4 linked regions of the Struthio camelus genome follow. The protein of the gene in region 1 binds, or shares a complex with, the protein of each later gene. Links are inferred from orthologs where the notes say so. Each region holds a gene or a part of one and is shown in the gene's direction. Other genes may lie near its edges.

Evidence for each region.
Region 2: the proteins of POLR1C (region 1) and POLR1B are in contact, whole or in part, in a cryo-EM structure (PDB 7OBA), measured with the Homo sapiens proteins. The link is inferred for Struthio camelus from reciprocal best matches to the Homo sapiens genes POLR1C and POLR1B. Residues at the interface, in NP_976035.1 of Homo sapiens: Ala70, Asn74, Arg77, Arg78, Leu81, Ala82, Gln102, Asp103, Glu104, Ile105, His108, Leu112, Lys220, Asp221, His222, Ala223, Thr230, Ser232, Tyr233, Arg234, Leu235, Asp281, Thr282, Phe283, Ser284, Glu286, Arg289, Arg301; in NP_061887.2 of Homo sapiens: Arg713, Gln715, Lys761, Ala762, Glu765, Arg766, Gly767, His770, Tyr774, Gly816, Val848, Arg872, Pro874, Glu900, Asp901, Phe904, Glu906, Gly908, Lys967, Gly970, Tyr971, Asn972, Phe973, Tyr974, Arg978, Tyr980, Ser981, Gly982, Ile983, Ser984.
Region 3: POLR1C (region 1) and TAF1A share a complex: the UniProt entries of both Homo sapiens proteins name them as parts of the pol I pre-initiation complex. The link is inferred for Struthio camelus from reciprocal best matches to the Homo sapiens genes POLR1C and TAF1A.
Region 4: POLR1C (region 1) and POLR1H share a complex: the UniProt entries of both Homo sapiens proteins name them as parts of the pol I pre-initiation complex. The link is inferred for Struthio camelus from reciprocal best matches to the Homo sapiens genes POLR1C and POLR1H.

What each region holds. Positions count from the first base shown.
Region 1 is NC_090944.1:103,662,672-103,670,202, forward strand, and holds the start of POLR1C (DNA-directed RNA polymerases I and III subunit RPAC1), read left to right. Parts: upstream 1-4,486; 5' UTR 4,487-4,734; coding exon 4,735-4,803; intron 4,804-4,897; coding exon 4,898-4,969; intron 4,970-5,164; coding exon 5,165-5,272; intron 5,273-5,964; coding exon 5,965-6,097; intron 6,098-6,228; coding exon 6,229-6,348; intron 6,349-6,540; coding exon 6,541-6,693; intron 6,694-6,871; coding exon 6,872-7,021; intron 7,022-7,531. Other genes in the region: protein YIPF3, read right to left, coding at 507-630, 1,105-1,218, 1,775-1,906, 2,254-2,346, 2,774-2,819, 3,690-3,796, 3,882-4,085, 4,181-4,261. UniProt on the Homo sapiens protein: DNA-dependent RNA polymerase catalyzes the transcription of DNA into RNA using the four ribonucleoside triphosphates as substrates.
Region 2 is NC_090944.1:147,741,410-147,748,354, forward strand, and holds the start of POLR1B (DNA-directed RNA polymerase I subunit RPA2), read left to right. Parts: upstream 1-3,904; 5' UTR 3,905-4,035; intron 4,036-4,969; 5' UTR 4,970-5,047; coding exon 5,048-5,137; intron 5,138-6,945. UniProt on the Homo sapiens protein: Catalytic core component of RNA polymerase I (Pol I), a DNA-dependent RNA polymerase which synthesizes ribosomal RNA precursors using the four ribonucleoside triphosphates as substrates.
Region 3 is NC_090944.1:126,970,140-126,978,121, forward strand, and holds the start of TAF1A (TATA box-binding protein-associated factor RNA polymerase I subunit A), read left to right. Parts: upstream 1-4,896; 5' UTR 4,897-4,985; coding exon 4,986-5,094; intron 5,095-5,108; exon of another isoform or gene 5,109-5,401; intron 5,402-6,204; exon of another isoform or gene 6,205-6,279; intron 6,280-6,668; coding exon 6,669-6,838; intron 6,839-7,413; exon of another isoform or gene 7,414-7,578; coding exon of another isoform or gene 7,579-7,638; intron 7,639-7,982. Other genes in the region: MIA3 (transport and Golgi organization protein 1 homolog), read right to left, coding at 32-165, 841-1,081. UniProt on the Homo sapiens protein: Component of the transcription factor SL1/TIF-IB complex, which is involved in the assembly of the PIC (pre-initiation complex) during RNA polymerase I-dependent transcription.
Region 4 is NC_090977.1:793,260-800,527, reverse strand, and holds the start of POLR1H (DNA-directed RNA polymerase I subunit RPA12), read left to right. Parts: upstream 1-4,183; 5' UTR 4,184-4,274; intron 4,275-4,301; exon of another isoform or gene 4,302-4,503; intron 4,504-5,517; exon of another isoform or gene 5,518-5,529; 5' UTR 5,530-5,531; coding exon 5,532-5,661; intron 5,662-5,774; coding exon 5,775-5,875; intron 5,876-7,244; coding exon 7,245-7,268. Other genes in the region: MGAT1 (alpha-1,3-mannosyl-glycoprotein 2-beta-N-acetylglucosaminyltransferase), read right to left, coding at 57-1,373. UniProt on the Homo sapiens protein: Core component of RNA polymerase I (Pol I), a DNA-dependent RNA polymerase which synthesizes ribosomal RNA precursors using the four ribonucleoside triphosphates as substrates. Can mediate Pol I proofreading of the nascent RNA transcript.

The sequences.
Region 1 (7,531 bases):
AAGGAGACCTGAATATGTATAGCTTGGTAAATAGCACAGACTGGGGGAGGTGGAGCTTCTGCTGCCTGTTTTGTACAACACAAGATAAAAAAAGGCATTACACCAATTTTAAGAAGGAAAAAGATTTTTCTTGCGATACATTGACTGTGGATTTTCTGACCAGAGAAAGCAACCTGATTTCAGCAAGATTCAGGAAGGGACTGGATATCTGCGTGAGTGGAACAGTCAGTGCTGTGACACTTCATTTATGGGGAAAATTAAACCTTCTGCCTCACAACTTCTGTCCTAAACCCTGAGACTCGGCACAAACAGATTACCCCATGTCTATCTGCTGCCCCATTTGGACAGCTTCCTCTAACACAGCTAGCGCTGGCCGCTCTTGGATAGGAAGTTGGCACATATCCCAGGTTGGATCCAACTGGCTGTATTTTTTCTGGGAGGGAACAAAAAGCAATTCCTCTTCCCCCAGATCTAACAGGCACTCCCTTCCTATCTCCCCTTCTTACCTTCTACTACCTTGTGATAAGCAAAGTGCAGGTAGAGGAGGAAAAGCATATGCAGAGCAGCAAGGGTCCCACACAAGATGAGCCGCTGAGTATGCCCCACGGTACGTGACACTAGCACAGCAACCTAGGAGAGAGGTGGAGATTACAGACAAGGTAGCTGCTACCTCAGCCTTTGGCGTTGCAGTCAGATGCACATAGGCAGATGGGCCAAGTGGTAAGAGCCAACAGAAACTACTCAGAGACTCTTTGGCAGTTTACACCACCAAATTCAAAGTAAACTGACTGTTTCATGTAGGTGAAGCTTGTCCAGCCTTGCCAAGAGTTCAGGATGCTCAGGCAGGACTCTGCACCACAGTAGGGGCTGTAAGGGAGCAGACCTCCTGCAGCCATTAGAATGCGTGAGGACATTAAGCCGAGTGTCACTTCCAGACACCAGCGGCCAAGCAACCCAGAAGTGTCAGGCTGTTGTTCTTAGCAGCCTTACTGGCTTTGATATGAACTGCCTGCCCCAAGAAACAGAAAGCAAATGACATTCTCCTCTTTTTTTTTTTTTTTTTGGTCCCCAAAGCAGGAGGGCTCCCAGCTGCCTGTCCCTTACCATTCGTAGTGTCGAGAGTCCACCAACACCCAGCCAGAAGATATAGAAGAGGGAGTGGAAGTGGATATTATAGGTAACAAAGAGGGTGATGCAGTGTCCAAAGAGGCCATAGCCCTGACAAAACAAAAATACACGTGTTATGAATGACAGTCCCACGTGAAGGGCTACTGGTCAAAACCATGAGTAGGCTACTCCTGCAGCGTTTCATGGAGGCAAAGCTTCACTAATCACTCACTCAACACCCAAGAGTCAATCAGCACACCAAACGTAAAAGCCAGTGTGCTGTGGGAGCAGCTCACATCCAGCTTCTCTGCCTGAAGGAGTCACAGGGATGATAGAAATCACAGCAACTTGGGAAACAGAGAAAAAATCAGCCTCTGTTTCCAGAGAAATTGGAATCTCCTGCTTTTTACCACCATGCTCTCAGATCAGGAAGTCCAAAGCAGATCTGCATGAAGCAACAGCCACTTTGTGCTGTCCTCGTACCTGGGATGGGGCAAGTCAGAAGAACAACTTGGAATTCCAGCCTATCCCCATGCAATAGGACTGCAGTCACCTGGGACCATTAATTGATAAGGAGACTTCCACGTCTCAGGGAAGACCCCCCCACACCACCCTTCTGCTGAAGCACCATGCAGCCAACCTGCATCTTAGCCCCATCCATACATACCAACAGTGACAGCATCTGCACCATCGTGATTTGGGCATTGCACAGATATGCCAGGAAATAGATGAAAGAGGAGACGCCCAACCAGTAACCGAAGCAGGTGCCAATGGCTGTGCCCATCAGTGTGCCTTCCCTCTGCAGAGACAGTGTCAGGGTGAGGAGAGCGCAAAGAACTGACCTGTCAGGACCCAAATTCCACCTCAGAGAGTTCCCAGAGCCTTTGCTAGGCATGACTGAATAGCCAGCCAGCAGCGTCCAGGATGCCACATGGCCTACTGCCCAGCCCTTCCAGCAACACAGCATCAAGATTTTCTGATGCTTGCTTCCTTCCTCCTACCCCCAAATTAACTCTTCCTCAAATCAGTCTGCTTTTCAGCAAGGTGCTGTTCAGTCACGGGAGAGGCTTCCTCTCCCTCTCTAGCCTCATTATGGCAATTCAGATCCCAGTGCAAACCCCAACCTATCGCTGAGACTCGCCGTACAATGATGGTGTCCGAAGTCTTCATCCCATGCAAGAGGATGGCCACCAGCGTGAAAACCAGCATGAGGGGCCCATAGAGCTCGCCTGCAATCTTCTACAGGAGGAGACAGACCAGGGAAGGCTTGGTTAGTGCTCCTGAAGGCCAGACTCCCCACCCCAAGCCATGTGAGAAGTGCCTTGGATGAATTTTGTCACTTAGCCACCTACTGATCTGAGAAGTAACAGTAAGGCCGCTGCTGACAGGAGCCAGGAAAAATAGGTCATGTGATTAAGAGTCAAAGTGGTGTTAAACAGGATGCCAAAACACGATAAGTGAAGTCTGGAGATCTAGAACTGTACCAGCATTAAGGGTAGCAGAAAGGGGTTTAGAAGCATCCTGGGAAAGAGCTTACCAGCATTTTCAGGCAGATGAACAACTAGCAAACTCAGGCCCTTACTAACACGGGCTAATCAAAATCTCCAAGGTGTCTGTGGGACATTCTCTTGAGCCATGGAGTTTGATTCAGCAAAAGGGAACTCACCTGTGGGAAATTAATCATCTTGACGGGAACCATGGACTCTAGCAGTCTGCATCACAGAAAAAACACAGAACGACATCAAAAGCAGGAAAAACAACCAGGTTAACGAGATGCCTCAGCAGTAAAAGATCCCATACCCCAGTCACCAGTATTTTCCTGTTGTGCCTCACAGGCCTTGGTAGACACAGATTCCTTCTGAAGAGTCACAAAAGGTAGCTAAAGAAAACAATCTTATTATCCACAGGCTAACTTTGCCAGGGGGATTTAATGAAAACATACACAGATCCATTCAGGGATGAGGGGACTGCTGCCAGAACAGCAATCCCTAATTTTCTGAGCCACTGAACTCCTTGACCTGAGGCTGGATGAAAAAACATATGTTGATGATATAAAGCCTTCTCCTTCATGACAGCGGGCTAGCCGAGCCTCCTCATGAGTTAGTCCTGGATAAAATCATGCTGTAAAAATATGTACAAACTGTACCCTAGTGCTGGCTCCTTAGGCCTTGGAAGGTTTTAGAAAAGTAATTCTTGCCTCATTCTCTCCAGTCAGGTAAGCTGCTCCCTGAGAAGACACAGAACTGCCTTTCTGAACACAACTGTGTTGCAGGTCCAACAGAAACCACGTGACGGGGCTGGGCAATAAAACGCTAAAGATGCCTCAAAGCCCTTGTTTCAGTCAGAGAAGCTCTGCTGGGCCACAAGTGACATAGCGGCCAGCCCGCCTAGGGAACCTCTTTAAGGACAAGGGGACAAAGCCTAGCGTGTTACCCTGCATCTGGGCACTGCGCAGGGCTGGCAGCCCCACCCGGAGTTGCTTGCCTTGGGGGCAGCCGCTCCCTGGTGAGGAGTCGCTGGTCCCCCCTGAATCCCCCGGGCACTCGCGGCGGAGGCGACGGCCGGGCCACGGCCTTGCCCACCTGGTGCGCACTTGGACAGGCTCCACGTCGAAGTAGGGCCGGAGGATGTCGATGTTGGCGTAGAGGCTGAAGGCCTTCGAGGCCTGCCTCTTCCCCACCTGCCACATCTGCGGAGAGAAGGCAGCGTGCAGCAGCCGGGCCGGGCCCCCGAGGCCGGGGGCGGCCGCGGGCCGGGCGGGGAGCCACGCTCACCTGGTCAGCGACCTGCCGGCCGAGCTGCCCCCGCAGCCCCTTCATGCCCAGGAACTCCCCGTCCTCCTCCTCGGCGGCCGCCGCCTCGCCCTCCGCCTCCTCCTCCTCCTCCTTCATGCGCTGGTGCATCTCCCCCATGTCCTCGAAGCTGGAGCCCGACGTGTCGTCCATGTTCTCCATGTCGATCACGGCGGAGCCGCCGCCCTGCGCGGGGGGCAGAGGCGTCAGTGCCCGCCCGGGCCCCGCTCGGCCTCGGCCTCGCCCCCCGCCCGGCCCGGCCCGGCCCGGCCCGGCCCCACCTGCATGTTGTCCTCGAAGCCGCCCCACTCCGCCGCGCCGCTCCTGCCGCCGCCCGGCGCCGCCGCCCCCGGCGCGGACATCGTGGCCGGGGCCGCCCCGCGCCGCGCTCGCTGCTGGCGGCTCCGCGGGCCCAGCGGGGCTCGCAGGACCCGGATGTGACAGGCTTTCCCCCCTCCCCCCCCAGCACCGGCGGACGTGGAGGCTCCGCCCGCGCTCTCGCGAGATCGCGCTCTCGCCGGCCGGCCGGCAGTGCCGCCATCTTGGGAGTGGCAGAGGAAAGTGGAAGGGGGCAGCAGAGAGGAGCTGAGTAGACGGTGAGGGAGCCTCGCAGAGCATACGGGGGCGTGGGCTGCGCTGTCGCAGCGCCCCCAGGCCGGCCTGCGGCGAGGGAGGGTTGAACGCCCCGCGGCTGAGGCGCCACACCTAGGCGGAGCCAAGTCCTCCCGCCCGGCCGCCGGGGGTGGGGCGGCCCGTCACGTGGCAGAGGGAGTCTAACCCCTCCCTCCCCAGTCCGTCCGGCCGCGCACGCGCTCTGGTAGCGGCGGCGGCGGCAATGGCGGCCAAGCGGGGCACGGAGGAGATGCGGGAGCGCGTGGTGCTGGGCGAGTTCGGGGTCCGCAACGTGAGTTGGGGCGGCGCGGGGCTGCCGGGTGCCCGCCTCGCTCCCGGCGCCGCCGCCGCCCTCACGGGCTCTCTGCCTATCTCCCTCTTCGCAGGTCCACACCACGGACTTCCCCGGCAATTACCCCGGCTACGACGATGCCTGGGATCAGCTGCGCTTCGAGGAGGTGGGCGCTGCCGGCAGGCCGGGGCGGCCGTTGGGCGGCCGTTGGGACGGGGCGGGCTCCGCGGCGGCCGTTGGGGAGGGGGCGCGCGGGGCGGGGAGGGGAGGAACGTTACAGGCTCCGGGCGGTGCGGGCGCGCGCGCGGCGGCGGTTGGTGGAGGCGGGCCCGTGGGGTGACGCGGCGCGTGGCCCGTGCAGGGGTTCCGCGTGGACGTGGTCCGCGAGGAGGACGACGCGCTGGAGTTCGACATGGTGGGCATCGACGCGGCCATCGCCAACGCCTTCCGCCGCATCCTGCTGGCTGAGGTACCGCCGCGGGGAGGGCAAGGCTTGGCGGTGCTCCCCGGCCGGGTTCCCCCCCCCCCCCCAACTCGGGTGGGCCTCGGGGCTGTTAGCATCTTCGTACCACCGGTGGCCCTTGTGGCCCGCCGGTGGGAGCCTGCTGCAGCATCAGTGTTTCTGCAGCAGGGCATGGGGGACAGGGCCCTGCACAGAGCTGCCTGGAAGCAGGCCCTAGCTGCAGAGCAGTCTGTGCGATGGGAGAGGGCGTGTATGTGTATGTCCTGTGGTATCTCAGTCCATCTATACGTATTTTAGAAGAGAAGCAAAAATCCGTTCTGTATGTCAAGGACCTAGAGAGAGTTAGAGCCTTAGTGGCATGAGCAATAGCAATTGTAACCCTTAAGGATGCTGAGGTAGGTTGGTAGGTTGTTGTGGATGTTGGTAGGTTCTGTGGATTGGTCTGCCCTTTACCTCTCTTACTTTTTTTTTTTTTTTTTTTTTAATAAAAGAAGTAAGCTACCGGGATAGAGGGAGAACTCATTCATGTTTGTATTGGGTAGCGCAATTTGATAGAAACACCAGTGAGAAGAGTGTGCGAGCAATTATTTATGGGAGAGAAGAAGTAGTGAAAATAAGCACGTTTTAGTTAGACACTGTTTTGGTGTGTAGTTGGACCGTCACCTTATACTGACTTGATGCGTCCTCTTCTCCTTGAGGTGCCAACGATGGCTGTAGAGAAAGTCTTTGTGTACAACAACACGTCCATCGTGCAGGATGAGATTCTGGCTCATCGCTTGGGACTTATCCCTATCCGAGCTGACCCTCGACTCTTTGAGTACAGAAACCAAGGTGAGAGTCCTGAGTCTCCCTTCAATCAAACCGAAATACTGAAGGTTGCCCCCAAAGTAGGAAACCTGGGATCAGGTAAACTGAGCAGAAGCGTGATTCTGTAGACGCTCGTGCTATTCTCCCCTTTCCAGGAGATGAAGAAGGGACAGAAATTGATACGTTGCAGTTCCAGCTGAAAATAAAATGCAGCCGAAACTCTCAGGCAGCCAGGGAGTCCTCTGACCCCAATGAACTGTACTTCAATCACAAAGGTAAGGTCTTTCCGTGTCCTAAAAACAGATGCTGCTTTTTTTCTTGGGAGACAGGAATTGGTCCATTCTCTCAGTCCTGTGAACAGAGAGAGCTGATTCCCTTATTCTGCTAAACTTTTTACCAGCTCCAGTCCTGTAGCAGTCTGCTTTCTGAGGCAGCAGCTGGCTGATGCTTGTGGCTCCTCTTCACAGTGTACAGTAAACACATGACATGGGTGCCTTTGGGAAATCAGACAGACCTCTTCCCAGATGCTGACTTCCGACCTGTTCATGATGACATCCTTATCGCACAGTTACGACCTGGCCAGGAAATAGATGTGCTTATGCACTGTGTCAAGGGTATAGGTAAGTCACTGGTCCTGAGGGTAGGGGGAGAAGGTGTGGGAGTGCTCGGACTATAGGGCATGGACGGATGTGTGGAGGGGAGAGGTGGAAGGCTGGCTTGCCTCTTTGAACTTTAGGCCCTAGCATCATTACCCTCTTGTTCTGTGAGACCTCTCCTCACCCTTATCTCTTTGTGCAGGTAAAGATCATGCCAAGTTTTCTCCTGTGGCCACAGCTAGTTATCGACTGCTTCCGGACATTACTCTCCTGCAGCCTATTGAGAATGAGGCGGCTGAGTTGTTGCAGAAGTGCTTTTCCCCTGGAGTCATTGAGATCCAGACCATCAAGGGTACTTTATTCACTGCTCTAACGTGTCATGTCCTTATGAGTCTTAGCAAAGAGTTATTGCAGACTAGAGCCAAACCTTGTGGAGACGAAACCACATTGTGATGTTGTCTTGCTGATCAGCAACTGTTTGTGCTGTTCTCAGCCTGGTTTTATGGATGAGTGGCTGTTGCACGCGTATGTGTTTGCTGGTGAACTGAGATCTCCCTGAAATGCTAAGGTATTGTGTGTCTGTCTGTAGAGCCCTGTGGCTGCTTACTGCAGCTTCCAAATACTGCTCAACTGTGTGTCAGACTGGGTAGTGAGCTTGGTCTTTCCAGCAGTTGAATGTGGGGATGACGTGTATCCTGCCCAGGGGTATGTATAAGCTTTGTGTTTAGATTGGAACTGCTCATTTCTATCAGGTTAGAATTTTGTGTTGGAGGTGTGCTAATTCTTTATACTTTGTGGCTTCACTGCCTTTGCTGGTGGGCGAGTGCTTGTCTGGGGTGCCTTTTGGTCATGGGAAGTGCTT
Region 2 (6,945 bases), about 44 Mb from region 1:
ATCATGGAAAATTGAAGCTTTGGGGATTTTAATTGCAGCAGGAGAGCAGGCTGTGCTGCCGAGGTCAGGGCCATGTTCTCTTGGCTCTTGCACGGAAAGATGGTTGTCAATGAAATAAAACAGACCTTGTTCGTGTTACCCAAAGCAAAACAAACAAGAAGAGATCATGGAGGTTACAAGCTTCTGGCTGCCTGCGTTTAATGGGAAGTGAATCAAGCAGTGTGATTTCTGCCTCCCACAAACGATCCCGGCGCTTTGACATACTCACCTTTGGTCGTGGCTGAGATTTCAGAGGTCTTCCTGCCAGCACAGCGCTTGGTAAGCAAGTGATCCTGCCGGCAGGACTGAAGTGCCCACCCCTCCTCGGAGTGATGGATTTTGGTCATGCTGTACCTGGACAGACATTCATTGCAGCATGCTGTGAACAGAGTGGTTAGCAAAGCCCAAAAGAAGCGTTGCAGAGAGGAAGCGTCCCGAAAGGCCAGGCAAGCCCGTCGTCAACGCTCTGAAGCGCCGCACGGAGCGGAGTCTGCATGGCGTTTGGCAGACGCAAGGTGCGTTGGAGCTGGAAAGCAGTTCGGTTGCTGCACGCTGGGAAGCGACGAGGAGCGATAGCCGCGTGTGAACAGGGTGTCTGCTTTGTTTCTCCAGGCTGCGTGCGAAGGACGCCTGGACTCCACTTGCTGGTGGGTGGTTTTGTTTCCAGCAATGCCCTGAGCACCATGTCCAGTTTCTGGCTTTACTGGACCTCTTGTGTTTTCATATGAGCCAGAAAGCGGTGGGGGAATGGTGGGTCATAAGCTGGGAGAAGGAGGTATGAGGGAAGGGCTGTTTGGGTGTCCTAATCTCGTGATAGCACACAGGTGTGAAAATTGCCCTGCAGACCAGCCCGAAGCATAGTGTTAATAGTCCCAGGTAAAATGTAGGCTGTAACAGGTGTTTCATGTGACTCGCAGAGCTGCCAGCTCAACAGGTCTCCACTGACATTTTCACATAGTAGCTACCGTGAGCTTAAAAATGCACCTTTTTTTCCCCCAGCAAAGGCAAGATCTAATAGCAATAGCCTTGGTCCAGAACGTGCCTGAGCAGACACTGCACTCTCACAAGCTCTACACCAGACCAGACCAGAGCTCCTCAGGTATGAAGTGAGAAAACTTTACCCGTCATAAGGAAATGAAAAATCCCTGGGGTCCTAGACCCCTCTTTACTTTCCCTTCACCCTGAATTCAGAAACCAAAACGCTCCCTTCCTGAGCGTATGTAAGATTAGATCCCTGCCGATGTAGTGGGATAAGGCTAGGAAAGCAGCCCGGATGCAGGGAAGAGAAGCATCTTTTATCAGCACAGCTGATACAGCCAGGAAGAGCAGTGACTCAGGAACCTCTGCATAACTCCAAGGCCTTTCCCTCCGCCCTTTTTCGCCTCAGGTTGCATTGAGATACGTCCCCAACTGGCTATTTCTGCTGCTCAGCTAAAAGCAGGGCTTCAACTCAATGGTAAAACAATGGCCCCAGGTGATGCAGTTACTCATAACCTGCCTTTTCAGCTGGATTTTGGGGAGATAGTGATTCAGGGACTCTTTAATCATTGGTTTGTTTGCTGAATAAGCAACAGCCTCTAGAGGAAAACACTGGGTACCATGTGTGAGCACTCACCATCTCCCCTCAAAGTGCTTCCCCCAAGCAAAGCCCAGGAGGTAAACGCTAAAGGACGGCCAGTGCGGTACCTAGGGTTTTGCCCAATTTATTAGCCCCATTTATTATTTGTTAGGTGGAGCAAAGAATGAGATGGATACGGCTGAGGCCTGAGCGTTGCGACCGTGGGGGCACCTTGTAAGTGATGCTCGCACACTTTTATTTTTTAGGAAAAAAAATGCAAAAATAAATGTTTTCTAGCTTGATTCAGCTTAAAGGTCAATAGACAAGGTCTTGCTCTCTTTCCTAAGCCTTGACAGAGGATGGTGCTGGGTTGCAGGAGGAGCCCGCCCATAGTCTTAGCAGTTGTATCCCTTCAGTCCAGCCATAAAGGATTTAGACCCAGATGCTCCGGTTGTGTTTTGCAGCAGGGTCTGGTCCAGCCGGAGCCTGGGCTTCACTTAACTCCCATATGGCTTCTCTCATACCAGATTAATTGTGACTGCGGAGCGACAGCTCTCGGGCTCCCACTGAAATCCCGTGGCCGGCCGCAGCCTGTGGAAAACCCTGGGGCTGTCCGACAGGCTCGAAAGCACCTTCGTCCGAGCGGTCCGGCTCCCGTTCCCTGCTGTAGTCCAAGCCCTTGGGGACTGCTTGCCTGTCTGTGGTCCAAGCCCTTGGGGACTGCTTGCCTGTCTGTTTTCCAAGTGCCGCTCTCCGCTAGGAGAGCGATGCCGTGCTGTAAGTAGGTTAATGCTTGTGTGTCATTATCGGTGTCAGCCACAATAGTCCACAGAAATCCATGAAAGGCTTTGAAAGGACCGGAGGCCGTGGCTGGGGCAGACATACAGAGCTCCCGGGCTCCAGTTTTTGTTTCCAAAGCACTTGTCGCACGAGCGAGTGTGTACACGGCCGGCGGGACCCCGAGCGGCGCGTGGTTCTCCAGCGTTTGTATTCAGATCTGTCCTAAACCACCATTAAAAAGAGGAAATCTCAGAGGCTGTGGCGTTCCCGTGGGACAGCGGGTCCCGGGGCTCGCGGCACTGGCACAGCAGCTGGGAAACGCTCCTGCCTGCCCCCGCCATGAGCGTTTCTGCCTCTCGCTCCGGGGAGGGGGTGATTTGGAGGTTTTGTGGCTGAGTTTGCAGCACTGGGTGTGCAGTGCTGTGCCGCCTCTGCGGCCGGGGGGGGCCAGAGCTTCCCCGCCTCCGCTGCCAGGTCGCCCGCGGCAGGGGGGACACGGCCTGGGGGGTACGGCCCTGGAGGGACGTGGTTCCGGGGGACGCGGCCCCGGGGGTGGCATGGCTGGAGGACACAGCCTTGGGGGGGACATGGCTGGATAGGACACGGCTCGGGGGGGGACACAGCCCTGGGGGGATGTGGCTGGGGGGGACACAGCCCTGGGGGGACAGAAATGGGGGGACAGAGCTGCATAGGACACAGCTCTGGGAGGACAGAAATGGGGGCACCACAGCCCTGGGGGGACAGAGATGGGGGGGACGCAGCTGGGGGGGGACATGGCCCTGGGGGGACATGGCTGGAGGGGACACGGCTCTGGGGGGACAGAAATGGGGGGGACACTGCTGGAGGGGGGACAGAGATGGAGGGACACAGCTGGGGGGGACAGAGTTGGGGGGGACACGGCTCTGGGGGGATAGAAATGGAGGGGACATGGCTGGGGGGGACAGAAATGGGGGGGACACGGCTGGGGGGGACAGAAATGGGGGGGACACAGCCCTGGGGGGACAGGAATGGGGGAACACAGCCCTGGGGGGACAGGAATGGGGGGGACACGGCTGGGGGGGACAGAAATGGGGGGACACAGCCCTGGGGGGACAGGAATGGAGGGGACACGGCTGGGGGGGGACAGAAATGGGGGGACACAGCCCTGGGGGGACAGGAATGGGGGGACACAGCCCTGGGGGGACAGGAATGGAGGGGACACGGCTGGGGGGGGACAGAAATGGGGGGACACAGCCCTGGGGGGACAGGAATGGGGGGGACACGGCTGGGGGGGGACAGGAATGGGGGGGACACGGCTCTGGGTCCCAGGCAGAGCGCACGTGGCCGTGGGTCAGGCCCTGGGGCGCATGCGCGGCGGGGTGGGGAGGGGGGAGGGCGCACACGTGGGGTGCGCGCGCGCGCGTCCGCCGGGGGGCGGGGCGGATGCGGCCCCGCCCCTCAGCCCCGCCCCCGGCCGCATCCCAGCAGGCAGCGCGGCGGCGGCGGGCAGCATGGCGGCGGGCGCGGGGGCGGTGGGCATGGCGGCGGGCGGCGGGGGGCACCGGCTGCGCCGCCGGCCGCGCTACCGGCCGCGCGGCGAGGCCCGGCGCGACTTGCCCGGCGCCCACCTCGACTCCTTCAACTACGCCATCAGCGAGGGCGTCTACCGCGCCGTGCAGGTGCGGGCGGCCGCCGTCGGGGGGCGGCGGGGGGCGACTGAGGGAGACCGTCGGGGGGCCGGCGGGGGGGACCGGCGGGGGGCGACCGCGGGAGACCGTTGGGGGCCGTCGGGGGGCGGATCATTGGGGGCCGTCGGGGGGCGACTGCGGGAGACCGTCGGGGGGCGGCGGGGGGGGGACCATTGGGGGCCGTCGGGGGGCGACTGCGGGAGACCGTTGGGGGCCGTCGGGGGGCGGATCATTGGAGGCCGTCGGGGGGTGACTGCGGGAGACCGTCGGGGGGCGGCGGGGGGGACCGCGGGAGACCGTTGGGGGCCGTCGGGGGGGGGGACCGTTGGGGGCCGGCGGGGGGCGACTGCGGGAGAGCATTGGGGGCCGGTAGGGGGGGGGACCGTTGGGGGGCGACTGCGGGAGACCACTGGGGGCCGGCGGGGGGTGACTGCGGGAGACCATTGGGGGCCGGTGGGGGGGACCACTGGGGGCCGTCGGGGGGCGACTGCGGGAGACCATTGGGGGCCGTCAGGGGGGACCACTGGGGGCGGTTAGGGGGCGGCGCTGGGGGTGGTTGCGGGGGGCCGTTGGAGGGCAGCTGGGGGGGCCGTCGGGGAGCGGTTGCAGGAGGCTGTTGGGGGCTGTCGGGGGCGATGGCTGGTGGGGGGAGACCACTGGGGGCTGGCGGGGGGTGGCTGGGGGGGACAAGCGAGGGCCGAGGTGGGACGGGCGTAGAGCAGCGAGGGCCCGGGGGTTGGCTTTTGGGGGTGGCTGAGGGCGAGGTGAGTCAGGGGAGCGGGGGTGTGGGGCCGGGGCCAGCGGGTGGCTTGGCGGGACGCAGAGGTCGCAGCGGGGGCGCCCTGTTCCCCGGGCAGCCCCCGCTCTGGGTGCTGCCCCCGACCTACGTCTGGGGAGCCTGACCGCCCTCGCGTGTCTGTTTCAGGACCTCCAGCCGCTGGAGTTTGCTCTCAAAAGCGATCGCATCTCGCTGGCTATTGTGGGAGTTTCCATCTCTCCCCCAATGGTGCCAAAAGGGACCATCTGTCAGGATATGAAGGTTTACCCGGCGGAGTGCAGGGGCCTCCGAAGCACGTATCGGGGGAAAATAATGGTAAGTGTTGAGCTGTAAGCATTGGGGCTCGCAGGGAGTACGCTGTTCTTCTCCAGGGCCTGATATATATTACATCATTACGTACGGTAGCATGACATCACTAGTTCCGCAAGAGCAAAGCTAACGGAAGCTTGTTTCTCCACAAATTTGCGTGTACTTTGGCTAAAGATCACTTTCCAATTTCACCTGCTTTGCAGGTACTTGGCAGAACTGTGTCCTGTATGGAGTCTCGAGTTCTGATGAAGTATGAGCCCACTGCAAAAGCTTCTTCTCTTTGAGCCCTTAAAACATCTCTTCCCCTCTGTGCTCCTTTTTCGTAGGACCTTAATGATCTTCCCTTTCCTGCTGTCAAATTTGGGTAGAAATCAGCTAGCCAGCTCAGAAGATCTTGGAAGGAGACCTGTTTAACCTCAGAGAAAGGGATAATCCAAATCTTGTTTCTACAGGAATCCAGGTTTCAAAATCAGTATTGCTCTGGTGTAAAAGCCCAGCTTTATAAATCCCTTTTGTTCATATCACGTGTTCATCGGTTTTCCAGATTGCTCTGAAATTTGAGTAGAGAAACATCCCTGGCAAATATTTTCCCTTGCGTTGTGAAAGCATCAGAGGACCATTGCTGTTTGCCACTAAAATTGTGTAGCTTTGTCCAAGGTGTAAATTTGCATGGGTCTCTTGCAAGAGAACGATTGTGTGCAGTTTCTGCTTATTTTTTTTTCCTCCTTTCTCTGAATCGTTGCCATTTATTATGGTAAAAGCCACTCTAAGTGCGGTATCTTGTCTGAACATAAAAGTGGGGCAGTCGCACAGATTCTTTGCAGACGTTTTCCCAGTGGCTGCTGCTGTTGTTTTTTCATACGTTCATTGTTTCTTTCTTTCTTTCCTAAGATTGTTCGCTTTTTCAATCTGTGCAAATGTTTGACGGTCCCAGCCCAACAATTTGGCTGTGCCTTATGTGAGAAAGTATTGCCTTGTGCTTGGACTGGTTGTTCAGTCTCTCCCACTCCCTGCTCTTGCGCAGCGGGAATCGGTGTATAATCATTCCCTGTTTGCTTTCACTATGCTGCTGTTAATTGCATGTCCTTCCATCGTATCCCCCTTGAGGTTCTCGCTTTTCCAAGCTAAACAGTCTTAGTCTTTGTGGCAGCTCCTCGCGCAGAAGCCATTGGAAGCCATATCTTTGGTCATCCTTTAGGCTTGAGACCAGAACTGTGCTGAGGATTTGATGTAGGGTGCACCATGGATTTACAGAGGCACAGTAACGTTTCTGTTCCCTTTCCTAGTAGTTCCTGAGACTTGATTTACTCTCTTGAGTTGGTGTTTTCATATTGTAATGCCAAGATTTCTTTTCTGAGTGGCAGTGGCTCCCTTAGAGCTCGTCGTTCTACACATAAAATTAAGATTGTTTTTTTCCACTGTGCTTTTTGTCACCTCGTTTCTTACAGTCAAGGGAGCCTTCTGCAAAGCCTCTGTCAGATCTTGTTATTGTAAATAAATGGTTTTCCTAAGCAAACTGTCTTTTCCTTCTCACTTTTCAAATCACTTATGAACAGGTCAAATGGTCCAGTCTTAGGAAAGATCTCTGTAGTCTCTACTGTTGATCTCCTTCCATTGAGCATTTATGGTTTTCTTCCACTTTTTCTTTAACCACGTATTGACTTCTGAGGTCTCCCTTCCTATCCTGTGGCTTCTTTGTTTATTTAGGCTGCTTTGTTGCAGTAGCTGAAACAGTCTACTTAGGCTTTCAGACTTGTTCACCTGACTAGCAGTTCTAGACTTGTCTGATTTCCCTCTGCAAACGGATGTTGACT
Region 3 (7,982 bases), about 23 Mb from region 1:
TCAAATGGAATAAATGCTTTACGGTACTTACACTTCCAGCCCAAAGCTCAGTTGATTTCCCTATTAGTTTGTAATACACATACACTGCTTCTCCTTTCTTAAAATTGACAAAACGACAGTCTGGACCTTTAAAATCCTGCATGGCCTTCCCTCGGCACATCAACACTGTACAAAGAAAACAAAGAGCAGAGTATTACTTCAAAAAATTGAACGTCATAGTTTTGCGGAAAGGATCTTTGCTAATCAGCAGGAAAGACGACCTCTCCGCACGCACAGTTTTTACAGACTGGGTCAAGGGGTGAGAATATAACTGCAAGCGCAAATAGGATAAGTAAGGGAAAAATATTACCTAAGCCCACACAAGAGCTCAATAAAGCACCGGAGCGTTACATTTGAGAAGCGCGCTATGAGGCGAATTGTTAATATTAAATAAGAAAGGCTGAAGGATGGCATCTGTTTCATAATGAATCAGCCCTTTTGCTACTCGGGCTGTGAAAAACACCCAGCCAGCGTCTCTTACCAGGGGGTCTTGCGGAAAGAGAAGAAGCTGCGGGAACGGGAAAACTTGGCCCGAAAGACCAAGCGGGTAAATCCCAACCTGCCTCCCCGCGGGAGGCTGGCGAGGAGCAGCGCGCGCCCTGCTCCCTTCCCCCCCCCCCGCAATTTTAAACAAAAACATCAAAAAAACTAACCCCCCCCCCACCCGCGGCGCTGCCCCCTCCCCGAGCGGGACCCCCCCCGGGGGGGGGGCGGCGGCGGCGGCAACAAGTCGGCGGGAGCCGGCGCGCCGCCCCGCAGCCCCCCCCCCCAGCGCTGCCCCACGGCCCCGGCCCCACTCACTGCTGCACTCGGGGTCGGCGCAGCGTTTGCGCTCGGCGAAGCGGCGGCCCAGCTCGGCGTCCAGCGGCCGCGGCAGCAGCAGCAACAGCAGCAGCAGGGCGAGGAGCGGCCGAGGGGCCGGCGGCGGCGGCGGCGGCGCTGCGGCCATGATCGCTGGGCGCCGGCGGCAGGGAGGGAGCAGACACGTCAGCAGGGCCGGCGGCGGCAGCAGGCGGCGCTCGGACCCCGCCGCCGCCGCCATTTCGCCCGCCCCCATCCCGCCCCCTCGCCGCCATCTCACCGCCCCCTCGGGCAGCGGTTGGCGGCGGCTGCCCCGCCGCTCGCACGCCTGCCGGGGCTGCTTCTCGTCAGCGCCGTCCCGCGCGGGAGGGCCAACGTGAAGTCGGCGTCTGCCCGGCCGCCTGTTCGTCGTTCAGCCAAAGGAAAGTTCCCTCTGCGAAGAGGAGGCGACAGCAGGGCAGCGCGGGTAGGCGACAGGCCGCGGCGTCCTGCGGCTGGTTCAGTCAGACGGCAGGTGTTCGTTGCCCTCTCCGGGCGCGGGGCAGGCTCTGCAGCTGCTCCAGAAACGAGCCGGAATTGGGCCGGTCCGGTGGTCAAGGGGAAGGGCCCCGCTTTTTCCGTGCGTCTCTCAAGAGGCGTTTTAAGCGACACGTTTGCGCGCGCTCTGAGCATCAGCTACCAGAGGAGCTGATCCTCCTCTTCCGCGGACGGCCAGCTCTTATCGCCAGCAGCTGGCAGTCACCGCTGCTGGCTGCCTTAGAGGTACTGCTCGTGTTCTCGTATCCTTACGGTTACTGATTTTGCTTTACCTGCTCTCACTTCTACGGCCCCATCGGACAAGATCTGAGAGCCAACCGTAGTTAACGCTACATGATCTCTGGAAAAACAGGTATTTTATTTTAACCTCCCCCCACTCCCGAGCAGTTTACTGTTTTATCACGTTATGAAAAGGCATCAGGACAGAAATAGGTATCTTCCTAATTTAACGCTACAAGGACAGGCTTCAGTATTTCACAGCCAAACTTACCTTAAACATCTAGCCACTCCTTACAGCCCCATCTATCCCAAGATTAAGGAAACACCTATACGTTAGAGGAACGCAACAGTTCATTCACCCCGTACTATTTTCTCCAGGAAGGTGCCTCCACATATTCCCTAGGCCCAGCGCAGTATCGCGGCTGTAGAACACAGCCCCCCTGGAGTTGTGCTGGCGTTTCTCTATTTCACATCCTATAAAATGAGGTGATACCTATTTGCCATTACTGACGCTGTCTGAGGAAAAGCTCTAAGAAAGTCTAACTCATAAAATTGAAACGTGAATTTCATCACAGCTTACAAGCAGCCTGAGCTGTGAAGCTGCAGTTCTCTTGAAATATATCCTGTAAGAGTTAACTCCAAACAGAAACATAAAAACAGATTTTACCAAAAAACTATGAACTACAAACTTGGCAAAATTAGAGGATTTTAACACACTGCTGTATATGGAAACTAGAATATTGAAGTCATACAGCTTATGAGACTTTAAGAATAAAAGACAACTGATTTTTCCCTTGACGTTAAAATTTCTTGTGGCTTAATTCCCATTCTGATCTTTAAGTCCACTTGCTTGTGAAGATATAGCTGTTGGATAATTCCCTGACAGTACTAGGTTATCAAGCTTATCTATCAAAAGACCAAGATAAAAAGTAATGGTGTCTATGATCATAAAAACCAAGCACAGAAAAGCGACACATGAAGAGAAACAAGATTACTTATTTCTTGCAAGAGTCATTGCCATTATTGTATATATTGCTGTCAATATATATACATGGGTTTACCACTGCAACCATCCAAAATTCCCTACAATTTCAAATATTTCATAGTAATAATATGTACGCAGCTTTCTCTTTCTCACTTAATTAAATTCAAATGTTTTAGGAAAGATTTCCTTCAGCCTTCAACCCCAATCTTGCAGATACGTGCATTCAAATTTGAGAGGAGTGCCATTATGTGGAATCTAGAGATGTGTACATGTTCACAGCTACAAACAAAGCAGTTTCCCCATCTCTTCTGCGCTAAAGCATCTACCAAATTAAAAACTAATACCCATGAATAAGACCAATTGGCAAAGTTCACACAGGAACCAGCAAAGACTCTCATTTATGTAAGACACAGAAAAATTGAAAAGCCCAGAGAAACATTAATCTGCTTCTAAGCAAACATGAGAACTTTCAGAGATAAAATGGGGGAAGCTGAATACCGAAACTAGGGTATTGATGCAACAGAGCATCAGAAATATTGTAGGACGTGACGCCATACTTGGGGAACACCAGTAATCAGTGAGACGCTTATACGAAGCATTGCTTATAAAGGGTAGACAAAGAAAATATATACTCAATAAGGTTTATAGTCAAATTAGTTGAATAAGTTAACTCTGTCTACGAGTAATACCGAATACTTATGAACTGAAATTCTGGGCCTAAATTGGAAGAGCACTGGATTAAGACTGCACTGTTGTGATAACACCGGGGACCGGGAGATGCCAAGATCAGAAAGGCTGAAAGAGCAGAGAAAAACAGTAACATGAGACTCCTGCTATCCCCACATAGATTTATTAAGTGTCACAGTAGGGTATGATACTAAGGTTAAATGTTTAGACACTACAAAAAACTGCCCTGCCTTATACTCGTCCTCTGACACCTGTTCTGGATCTTAGCTGAAGACAGGACACTGGATTAGGTGAACCTTTCATCTCAGCCAGTATCATTCACTTACTCACCTTCACCTGGCAGAACTGTTTAGAGAAAAATAAAAGTACGTTTTTATTCAGAAATCAGGACTTTGAACATACCAAATCACTCCGAGGCTAAGTCAGTTGCTGCTAGTGATTTAATGAAACGAGCTCCAGCACAGGTTTGTACAAACCAGGCTCTGTGCAGACGGACTTCTGGCATCTAGGTGTTCTAGACTGACTCTTCTAGGTCCTTTTCTTCTGTAGAAAAACGCTGCTCTAAATTACAGACCCACAGAAAAGTACCAATAAACCTAGAGGAAAAAGGTGGTAACAGGATGTAGGAGGTAACCATCACTTTCGGAGTTACTGGTGGCAGGTGTAACAACGCTCTGATGGTGCTATGCATTAGACGGTTCTCTGCTACCCCTCTGAGCACGTCCACCAAGCCTCCCATCCTCCTTCTAGGTGCCTGCTATTTCCTCACCCTGCCGTTTCTCATTTCCCCACCTCCACAGGCAGTTTATCTGCCAGCACATCCCTCGTACACGTGCTGCGCTCCCTTGGCGGGGCCGGGGCGCAGGACAGCTCAGAGCCCGCCGGGCCGGGCCATGCACCGCAGCGGTGACAGCAGCGCCTTCAGCCTCCACACGACCGCTGCGGGCCGCTGGCCCCGGCCCAGCTCCGGCCACCTGCTGCAAACCAACGCACAGCCACGCTACTTGAGGGCTGATTTCAGCTGGAAGTGGCCCCAGCTACCGCCGCACCCTGACCCGCAAGGGGCGCTCGCTACCGAGGGTGAGCGGCACCTTTCTGGGACGCATCCCAAGGCACGCCCGAAGGGCCGCCAGCCCGGCCGCCATGAGGAGAGCAAGCGGGCGACGCCGCCCCCTCCCGCGCCTCCACACGACCCCCTCCCCCCCCTTCACTGCGCAGGCGCACGAGACAATTCCCCCTTTCATCATGGCGGCGGAGGTGGCTAAGTTCTTCAGCGCGCAGGCGCAAGAGCCAGTTTCTCCCGTTTCATCATGGCGGCGAAGCGGCCCATGTTCCATAGGGCGCATGCGCCTTGGCCGCTATGCGCACCTGGCCAACAGCTGGCCTACGCTCTAGGAGCTAGGGCTACTTGGGAGCGGAAAGAGGTGGTCATCTTTAAACTGAGCCCCGGCTAAGCTCGCCAGGGCGGAGCGGCTTCGCCTCTCTCACAGGATGACCTTAGCAGCTCGGTTTAGATGAGGCTGGCTAGAAACTCCAGTTAGTTCGCCCCGAAGCCCGCCGCCAGGATCAAAGATGGCCGCTGCCGTCAGGCGGTTCCCCGCTATAGCCGCGTGGGGGGGGGGGGGAGCGGTCACGTGGGAAGAGGACGGCTCGCGCAGCGGCGCCGTTAGCGATCGCGGTAACGGCCGCCCGGCGCACCGGCCCCTTCCTGCGGGCTATGGACGGCTTCGTGGAGCGGGCGGCGCCGTGCCCGGCCGCGCAGGCGGGCGGCGCCCTGCTACCGGCCCTGCACCTGCCCTTCCTGCCGCCACACCTCTACCGGCCGGGTAAGGGCGGAGCTGTGCGGCGGCGGCGGCGGCCCCCGCGGGTCCCTGGGGCCTGAGGGAGGAGCGCCGCCCGCCGCGTGTGTCCGCCGCCCCCCCCTTTTCTGTGGTCTGCGCTTGGCCGGTCTGTCTGGCAGCCTTTGAGGTGCTCGAAGGTGTCGTTTCTGCTCCGTGCTGTGAGGTCTCAGTGAAGCAGGAAGAACTGGTGACTGTCCTCTGGCAGTCTTGGCCTGCTCTCCTCCGTGTGGGCAGCCCCGGCAGTCTCGTGGCTTCAGGGGCCTGGAGGATGTTTGGTACCTCAGAGACTGAGGTCTTTAATCATAGCATCCCTGTGTTGTTTCTCTCTGTTTCTGTGGGTAATAAGCTGCATGTGGCTTATTCCGCATTTTCACTGTTAGTAAAATAAGGTAGATGAAATAACTGATAACAAAGGCATAGTGGATGTAGGTAACTGCCAAACCTCTAGCAAAGTTCCTGTTTCAAAATACTTCTGTAGTAAAACACTTGGCAGAGCCTTTACATCGCATCTATCTGTATCAGATGACTTCTCAGTAACTTATGTGATGGGACTTACCTACAGTAGTCATAGTCCTTGGTATATTTAATCTTGCAATGTTTGTTGCGGTTTTTCTATTCTCAATGTTTGGAACCTGTGAAGTTACAAATAATTTAAATGTTAGGCCAGGTGTGAAGACACTATTGCTCTACTAAAAGAAGCTTCTTTTAGACTAGTCAGTATGGTCTTGGGAAGGTTGGTTAGAGGTAACTGTGTACAATGCACTGTAATAAAAGTGCTGTCAGCCTATGTTTGAGTCACTGCTTTGCCTACAGCATCCATGTAGGAGCTGGTTTGCTCAGCTCTGCACATCCTTTGCAGAAGGTTTCTATGGCTTGAGTGACATTGTGGGGGCACGTTAGGTCAATGGCATGCAAATATTACATAGGCATGGGCTTAAACATGGAAATGGGTTCAATATTGTGCTATAACAAAGGTGAACCACTGTCTAGCACCCTTTATATAAAAGGGATGAGTGGCCTCCTTCCCATTTTGTATTCACAAAAGAATAATCTGCTATGTGTATCTTTGTGTTTTGCTTTTTGTTTTTAGTGGGTGTTGTTTCACCTTTGTTACTGGAGTGGCCCATCTGTATGTACTTATGTGACACTTCAGCACAGTAGAGTCACAAGGTCAGTTCAGGATGAATAAGGGAAGAGAGAGGTTCCCTTCTCCCCCTCCCCAAATATCAACATACACTACTAAGTTACCAAAGCACCATGGTTTTCTGATTCCTCTAGAGCAGTAGTGTGTAACAGCTAGTCCTTGGCTGTTTCAAAAGTGTCTTCATCTCTGTGTTGCTTGTGAAAATGCTGTTTTATACTGTATTTCCAGCTTTTTTCATAGTTTGTTGCTCTCCTGTTAGGTTTTTCAGAACCTGGATGTGTTTACTTTCAAAGTCATATAGGTGAAGACTGGTTTCTGTAGTGTCTGAGGAATCATGTCTCTTTGATAGAGAGACACTAAAACAGTAGGCATGTTATTATTTGAATGAAGACTGGGTTTTTTTGTTTGTATTTAGCGACTTCCCATGAACACAAATTAAACTTCAGGAAGAGCAAGGAAGCATGCTTAAGTTACATTCAGGATGCCATGCTACAAAAGCAGTGGAAAAGGGCTGCGGAGTTTCTGACCTTCTATACTGAGTCATTGGAGAAAGACTTTTCTACTGAATACATGGGTCCTTCAGAGGTAAGTAAGTCGAAATCCCTTATTGGAGTTGTTCTGCAGTTGAAAAAAATACTTGCAAGAAGCATCTGTAAGACTTTAGGGCTAACATTTGTCTCAGTTGACTAAAATAAATTATATAGACTTGATTTAGAAAGAAGTGTCAAAGGTAAGACCTGAAAAGCCAGGTAACTTTTGCAAGCTAAGTAAGTGCCCTTTTTTTTTTTTTTTTTTTTTTTTTTTTTTAATAAAGGTCATTGTATAATTGGGTTTGACCTGCTGGAAAGCAGCTCTGCAGAGAAGGACCTAGGAGTCCTGGTGAACATTAAGTTGACCATGAGGCAGCAATGTGCCCTTGTGGCCAGGAAGGCCGAGGGTATCCTGGGGTGCATTAGGAAGAGTGTTGCCAGCAGGTCGAGGGAGGTGATCCTGCCCCTCTTCTCAGCCTTGGTGAGGCCTCACCTGGAGTACTGTGTCCAGTTCTGGGCTCCCCACTACAAGAGAGACATGGAGTTACTGGAGAGAGTCCAGCGGAGGGCTACAAAGAGGATGAGGGGACTGGAGCATGTCTCCTCTGAAGAAAGGCTGCGAGAGCTGGGCCTGTTCAGCCTGGAGAAGAGAAGGTCAGAGGTGATCTCATCAACGTGTACAAGTATCTGAAGGGAAAGTGTCAAGAGGATGAGGCCAATCTCTTCTTCGTGGTGCCCAGCAACAGGACAAGAGGCAACGGGCAGAAACTGAACCACAGGCAGTTCCATCTGAACATGAGGAAAAACTCCTTTCCTGTGAGGGTGACAGAGCACTGGAACAGGTTGCCCAGAGAGGTTAGTGGAGTCTCTCGAAACCCACCTGGACGTGACCCTGGGCAATATGCTCTAGGTGACCCTGCTTGAGCAAGGGGGTTGGACTAGCTGATCTCCAGAGGTCCCTTCCAACCTCAACCATTCTGTGATAACAGAGAACATATGGATTTGAGCATGGTGCTACAAAGGGGGGAAGACTGTCAGTGTAAGTAGTTATTCAAGTGCTGATGGAGAAGTGGAAGGTCTTGCATGACAGGCTGCAGAAAGTACATCAAACTTGATTACTGGTAATGTTCACGGCAGTATGCTGCCTGATTACTCTTTGAAAGTGTATCAGGCTGGCATCTGTACAAGCATGCCTCTCT
Region 4 (7,268 bases), on another chromosome or scaffold:
GGGAGGAAGGTTTGGTTGGAAAAACCAAACGAACCGAGAGGGGAGCGGGGACGCCGCTAACTCCAGCTGGGGTCGTAGCCCGTCCAGTCCGAGGGGGGCGCGAGGTAGACGCGCCGGCCGCGGTAGACGAAGCTGACGATGCCGCGGTAGCCGGCGCGGGGCACGCCGGATTTGAGGTCGTCCATGAGGCCCAAGGCCTTGGCGAAGGCTTTGAAGGAGTCGCGGCTCGTGTAGCGCACGCGCACGGCGCCCAGCTCGCGGCGCCGGTTGCCCTGCAGCTCTTCGACCCGCACCTCCGGCGCCGCGTAGACGCGGGGCAGGAAGGAGCGTTCGTACTCCTCCTTTTTGAGGTAGGAGAGGTCGAGCCGGGTGAAAGGCACGAAGCGGTCGTTGAGCTTGATGAACTTCAGGTACTGGTCGAAGAACTGGCCGTGGCTCACGCCTTTGCGACCGAACGTCATGGTGCGCGACACCTCCGGGCGCACGCACGAACGCTCCCGCCGTTGCTCGGGTTGCCTCATCCAATCGTCCCAAAACGCTCGAGGCCATTTAGGTTCCAGTTCGTCCCACAACTCGGCCAGCAGCAACCAACCGAGACCCGGGAAGAAATCGGTGCGGTAGAGCAGCTCGGCTCGCCCGGCGTCCACCATCTGCTCTTTGCCGTTGTCGTTCCAGGCCGAGACGCACCAGAGGCTGCGGTCGGCCAAGAGCAGCGGGAAAGTGGCTTGGAAATACTCGAAGAAATCCGGCGCTACTTCCAAGTCGTCTTCCACCACGATGGCCGCCCGGTAGCGGAAAGTACGGAAAACCTGTCCCAGAGCCCAACGGTAGTGACGGGCGATTTTGTAGTAACCTTGGAACTTGCGGTGTTCGGCGGGTACGGGCACGTCGCTGAGGTCGGGCTGCCGGATGTGAGCCACGGCGTCGCCGTACGAGGCGATGACGCGCGCCGTCTCGGCGTGCCCGCAGTCCTGGCTGACGATGACGGGGAAACGTTCGGGCGAAGGGCGGTAGCGCAGCAGCTTGTCCAAGCACCGGCGTACCGTGCTGCGGTCGCAGGCCATCACCAGCACGGGCAGGACGACGGAGGCGGCGGCGGGTGACGGCGGCGGCCGGGGGCTGCTGGGGGGAGGCGGCGGGCGCCGGCGGCGACCCCACAAGCCGCTGTAGCGGTGGATCTGGCGCAGCAGTTCCTTCTGCCGTTCCAGCTCGGCTTCGGCATCCTGCGCCAGGCGGATCACCTCCTCGGTGAGGCCGCGGCCGGGTTCGGCGCCGGGGGCCGCGGGGCGGCTCCAGAGGAAGAGGAGCAGCAGGCCGTTCCAAGCGACGAAGAGCGCCGCCCCCCACAGCGCCAGGCTGCTCTTCTTCAGCATCCTTCACCCGGCGGCCGCCCCCCCCTCTCTCTCTCTCTCCACCGCGCTCACGCCGCCGCCATGGACCTGCGGGCAAAGCCGAGCCGAGCGCCGCGTTAAAAACCTCTCGAAACCCCTAAAAAAAAAAGAAAAACCACCCAAAAAAAAAAAACCTCTCCACGCCCAACGCCCGCTCGAAAAACACCCCGAAGAGGAAGTCGCGAGAGGAAACAAGACGCCCCCGAGGTCCCCAGCGCCGAGGCCGAAAGTCGCCTGCGGTAGAAAAGGAGATGGGGGGGAAAACAACCCCCCCCCTCCCCGATCTGCCCCCAAAAACCCCAGCTGCCGGGGCAGAGTCCGTCCCCGTTAAAGGTTAACCTGGGCGCCGGGGCCGAACTCGCCGCCGAAACGGGGCGGGAAAAGCCGCCGGGGCGGTTTTAGCTTTTCTACGTGAAAAACTGAGGGGGATAATTAAAAAAAAAAAAAAAGGGAAAAAGTAAAGAATAACAGACCCCCCCCCCCCCCCCAAAAAAAAAAAAAAAAAACGCGAAGCTTTGGGGGAGCCTCCGCGGCGAGTTACTCACCCGGCCGCCGGCGAGCCCGGCCCGACTCCTGCCGTGTGGCGGAGGTAACACGTCAGCAGAGCAGGAAACGAGGGGGAGGGAAAAAAAAACAAAAACCGGGGGAAAAAGAAACCAGAAAGAAAAAGAAGATATTGGGTTACTGAAGTCAGGCAGGAGGCGGCCGTCCCCGGGGCGACTTTCTCCTCCGCTCGAGCAAGCGGCCGAACGAAAACTTCCGCCCCGGCTCCGGCGGGCGGCGATTTACGTTCCTGAAAAGAAGGAGGGAAGAAAAAAAAACAAACAAACCCGGACTCGCCGTCCCGCTGCCGTTTTGGGACCGGTTTTATTATTATTTTTTTTTTTTTAACCCTCCTGGCGGGAGGAAAAGACGCGGCAGGAGGCAGGTTAATTCGCTAAAGCCGCCCGGGGTGGGGGGGGGAGGTTTAAGCTGCTTTTCCTCGCCCCCGGGGTCACGTCGCGCGGCGGCAAAACGCCCCAGGGGCGAGGAAAAGTTTCCCCGCAACCTGTCGGTTCTGTTCAAAAGGGGGGGGGGGAAAGGATTCCCCCCCCCCACCCCGCTGCTTTTTCCGGCGGGATTTAAAGCCCGGCGGCGAAAGGAGGGGAAAAAAAAAAACCCAAAACGCGGGAAGGGTAAATAAAAAACCCCCGGCGCGAAGCTGCCGCCTTACCTGGCCGGCGCCGGGGGAGGGGGCTCGCCGGGGTGTCCGTCCGTCCGTCCGTCCGTTCCCCCCCCCCCCCGGCCAACGTCGAGGCCTCCGCGATCCGGCTCCGGGGTTTTTTCCGCGCCGGGAAGCGGATCAAGCCATGGGGGGGGGGGAAGGGGGGGGGAGGATTTGGGGTGGGGGGGGCGGCCCCGCCGGGGCCCCCGGCGCCGCTCGCGGCTGCTCTGCGGGGGGGGGGAGGGGGGACATGAGGGAGGGGGTTGGTTCCCCCTCTGCCCCCCCCCCAAATCCCATAGGGGACGGGGACCTTCCCCCCACCCCCCATCCCAGCCCTGTTCCCTCCTAAAGGGGGGGGCAGGGACCCCCCCCCACGCAGCCCTATAGGGGACAGGGACCCCCCCACCCCATATGGGAGAGGGATCCCTCCTCCACACCCCTATAGGGGACAGGAACCCCCCCTCCCCACGCAGCCCTATAGGGGACAGGGACCCCCCCCCCACACACAGCCCTATAGGGGACAGGGACCCCCCCCACACACCCCTATAGGAGACAGGAACCGCCCCTCGCCACGCAGCCCTATAGGGGACAGGGACCCCCCCCCCACGCAGCCCTATAGGGGACAGGGACACCCCTAACTACTTCTGTAGGGGACGAGGACCCCCGCACACACCCCTCTATACGGAACAGGGCCCTCCCCCACTCCTATAGGTAAGAGGGCTCCCCCCCCACACCTCTATAGGGGACAGGGCTGCCCCCTCCACACCTCTACAGGGGTCGGGGCCCCCATATAGACCTCTATAGGGGACAGGGCTCCCCCCCTCCACATACCTATATAGGGGACAGCCCCCCCCACCCCCTTATAGGGGACAGGGGCCCCACACACACCCCCTATAGGGGACAGGCCCCCCCCACTTCTATAGGGGATAGGAGCCTCCACACCCCCCCCTATAAGGGATAGGGCCCCCTCCACACACCTCTATAAGGGACAGGGAGCCCCCCACACCTCTATAGGGGACAGAGACCCCCTCACACACCTCTATAAGGGACAGAGATCTCCCCCAAACACCCCTATAGGGGACAGGGCCCCCTCCACACACCCCTATAGGGGACAGGGAGCCTCCCACACTTCTATAGGGGACAGGGGCCCCCTCACACCCCCCTATAGGGGACAGGCCCCCCCCAGCCCCCTCCCCTCCCCATAGGGGACAGGACCCCCCCCCCGACACCCCTATAGGGGACATGCTCCCCCCCGGGGGGGGGGGTCCGGGCCTCCCTCCTCCTCCTCCTCCTCCCCCCCCCCCGCCCCTCCGCGCCCCTCCGGTACCAGCGGCGGCTCCCAGCAGCGCCCGCCACTTCCGCCTGCCCGCGCCGGAAGTGGCGCCATGGCAACGGGCCCGGCCCCGCCCACCGCGGCGGCGCCGTCCAATCAGCGCCGGGCAAGGCCACGCACGCACGCACGCACGCGCGCTCCCCTGCGGGCGCTCCCATTCCCGCCGCCTCCCTCCCTCCCCTTCCCCCCCCCCGCGCGGCGGGATGGTACAGCCCGAGGGAGGGCGGGGCCGCCGGCCACGCCCCCCTCCCCGCGCGGCCACGCCCCCTCCCCGCGCGGCCACGCCCCCCTCCCCGCGCTCCAGCGCCCGCCCGCCGCCGTTTTTAACGTCTTTGGGGCTTTTTCGGTCGGTTTCGGGGTCTTTGGCGGGGTTTTTTCGGGGGGGGGGTCGAAGTTGTGACGGGGGGGGAGGGGAAACTCGCTCGTTCGTGCCCCGAGCGCCGCCGCCGCCATTTTTGGCGTCGCCTCAAGAGAGGGCGGGAAGGCGGCGGGTCACGTGGGTGGGGGCCCCTCCCCCCCACGCCGGCCGCTCTGGGCGCCGCGGCGGCCCCGGCTCGTCTCGTCTGCTCCGGGCGGTGGGACACGTGGAGGGGCGATGGGAGGGGGCGGGGGGCAATAGGGGGGGATGGGGGCAATGGGGGCAATAGGGGGGATGGGGAGGCAGTGGGGGGTGATGGGGGGCAATGGGCAGGGGGCAATGGGGGTGATGGGGGGCAGGGGGCCATAGGTGCTGATGGGGGCAATGGGGGGGTGGGGGCAATGGGGCAGGGGGCAATGGGGGGGATGGGGGCAATGGGGCAGGGGGCAATAGGGGGTGATGGGGGCAATGGGGGGGATGGGGGCAATGGGGCAGGGGGCAATAGGGGGTGATGGGGGCAATGGGGGGGATGGGGGCAATGGGGCAGGGGGCAATAGGGGGTGATGGGGGCAATGGGGGGGATGGGGGCAATAGGGGGTGATGGGGGCAACATGGTCAATGGGGGGGCAATGGGGGTGATGGGGGGCAGGGGGCCATAGGGGCTGATGGGGGCAATGGGGAGGCAGTAGAGGGTGATAAGGGGCAATGGGGGGCAATAGGGGGTGATGGGGGGCAATAGGGGGCAGGGGGTGATGGGGAGGCAGTGGGGAGTGATGGGGGCAATAGGGGGATGGGGGCAATGGGGGGGCAATAGGGGGTGATGGGAGGGCAATAGGAGCAGTAGGGGGGGATGGGGGGCAATAGGGGTGATGGGGGGCAGGGGGCCATAGGGGCTGATGGGGGCAATGGGGGGCAGGAGCTATAGGGGGTGATAGGGAGCAATAAGGGGTGATGGGGGGCAATAGGAGCAGTAGGGGGTGATGGGGGGCAATAGGGGGTGATAAGGGGCCATGGGGGGCAATAGGGGTGATGGGGGCAATGGGGGGTGATAGAGGGCAATAGGGGGTGATGGGGGGCAATAGGAGCAGTAGGGGGTGATGGGGGCAATAAGGGGTGATGGGGGGCAATAGGAGCAGTAGGGGATGATGGGGGGCAATAAGGGGTGATGGGGGGCAATAGGGGGGCAGGAGGCAATGGGAGGGGGGGAAAGGCACCCCTCTGCCCCCCCCAGCCCCCCCCCCAGCCATGGAGCCGCCGCCGTCCCGCTTCCAGTCGTGCCTGGACTTCTGCCCCGAGTGCGGGGCCGTGCTGCCCCGGCCGGGCCCCCGCGACGCCGTCTGCTGCGCCCGCTGCGCCTTCGCCCTCGACGTCGCCGGTGAGCCCCCCGGGGAATGGGGGGGGGGGGGGGAGCAGGCCCGGACGCCTGGGCCCCCCCCCCCCCCCCCCAAACCCGTTACCCACCGCCTGCCCCCCGTCCCCCCCCGGCAGATTTCGACGGCAGAGCCGTGCGCACCGCCGTCCAGTTCAACCGGCCCGAGCTCGCCGCGCCGCGGCCGCCCGAGCCAGCGCCGGGCCTCGACGGCCCCGTGGTGAGCCCGGGCGGCGGCACGGGGGTAAACCCCCCTTGGGAGGGGAATAAACCCCTTGGGAGGGGTATAAACCCCCCTGGGATGGGTATAAACCCCCCTGGGATGGGTATAACCCCCTTGGGATGGATATAAACCCCCCTGGGACAGGTACAAACCCCTTAGGATGGGAATAAACCCCCCTGGGACAGCTATAAACATCTTGGGAGGGGAATAAAGCCCCTTAGGACGGGTATAAACCCCTTAGGATAGGTATAAACCCCCCTGGAACAGGTATAAACCCCTTAGGATGGGAATAAACCCCCTTGGGACGGGTGTAAACCCCTTAGGTTGGGAATAAACCCCTTGGGAGGGGTATAAACCCCTTGGGATGGGAATAAACCCCCTTAGGATGGGAATAAACCCCCCCTGGGACAGGTATAAACCCCTTGGGAGGGGTATAAACCCCCTTAGGATGGGTATAAACCCCTTAGGATGGATATAAACCCCTTGGGATGGGTATAAACTCCCCTGGAACAGGTATAAACCCCCTTAGGATGGGAATAAACCCCTTAGGATGGGAATAAACCCCCTTGGGACAGGTGTAAACCCCTTAGGTTGGGAATAAACCCCTTGGGAGGGGTATAAACCCCCCTGGGATGGGAATAAACCGCCCTGGAACAGGTATAAACCCCCCCGAGATGGGAATAAACCCCCTGGGGTATGAACCCCTTAGGATGGGTATGAACCCCCCTGGGACGGGTATAAACCCCCCTGGAACAGGTATAAACCCCCTTGGGATGGGAATAAACCCCCCTGGAACGGGTATAAACCCCCTAGGTTGGGAATAAACCCTCTTGGGATGGATTTAAACCCTCTTGGGATGGGTATAAACTCCCCTAGGATGGGAATAAACCCCTTGGGATGAGTACTAAACCCTCTTGGGATGGGTATAAACCCCCTTGGGAGGGGAATAAAAGCCTTAGAATAGGAATAAACCCCTTTGGAATGGGAATTACACCCCCAGGATGGGAATAAACCCCCCTGGGAGGGGAATAAACCCCTTTAGAATGGGAATAACCCCCCCAGGATGGGAATAAACCCCCTTGGGAGGGGAATAAACCCCTTTAGAATGGGAATAACCCCCCCAGGATGGGAATAAACCCCCTTGGGAGGGGAATAAACCCCTTTAGAATGGGAATAACCCCCCCAGGATGGGAATAAACCTCCTTGGGATGGGAATAAACCGTTTTGGGACGGGTATAACCTCCCTGGGAGGGGTATAAGCCCCTTTAGGGCAGGTCTAGCCCCCCTTGGGAAGGGTTTAACGTCCCCCCCAACCCCGGGCCGGGGCGGGGGCATCTGAGGGCTCAGATTTCGGGGGGGGGGGCAGGTGGAGCGGCGCTGCCCCCGCTGC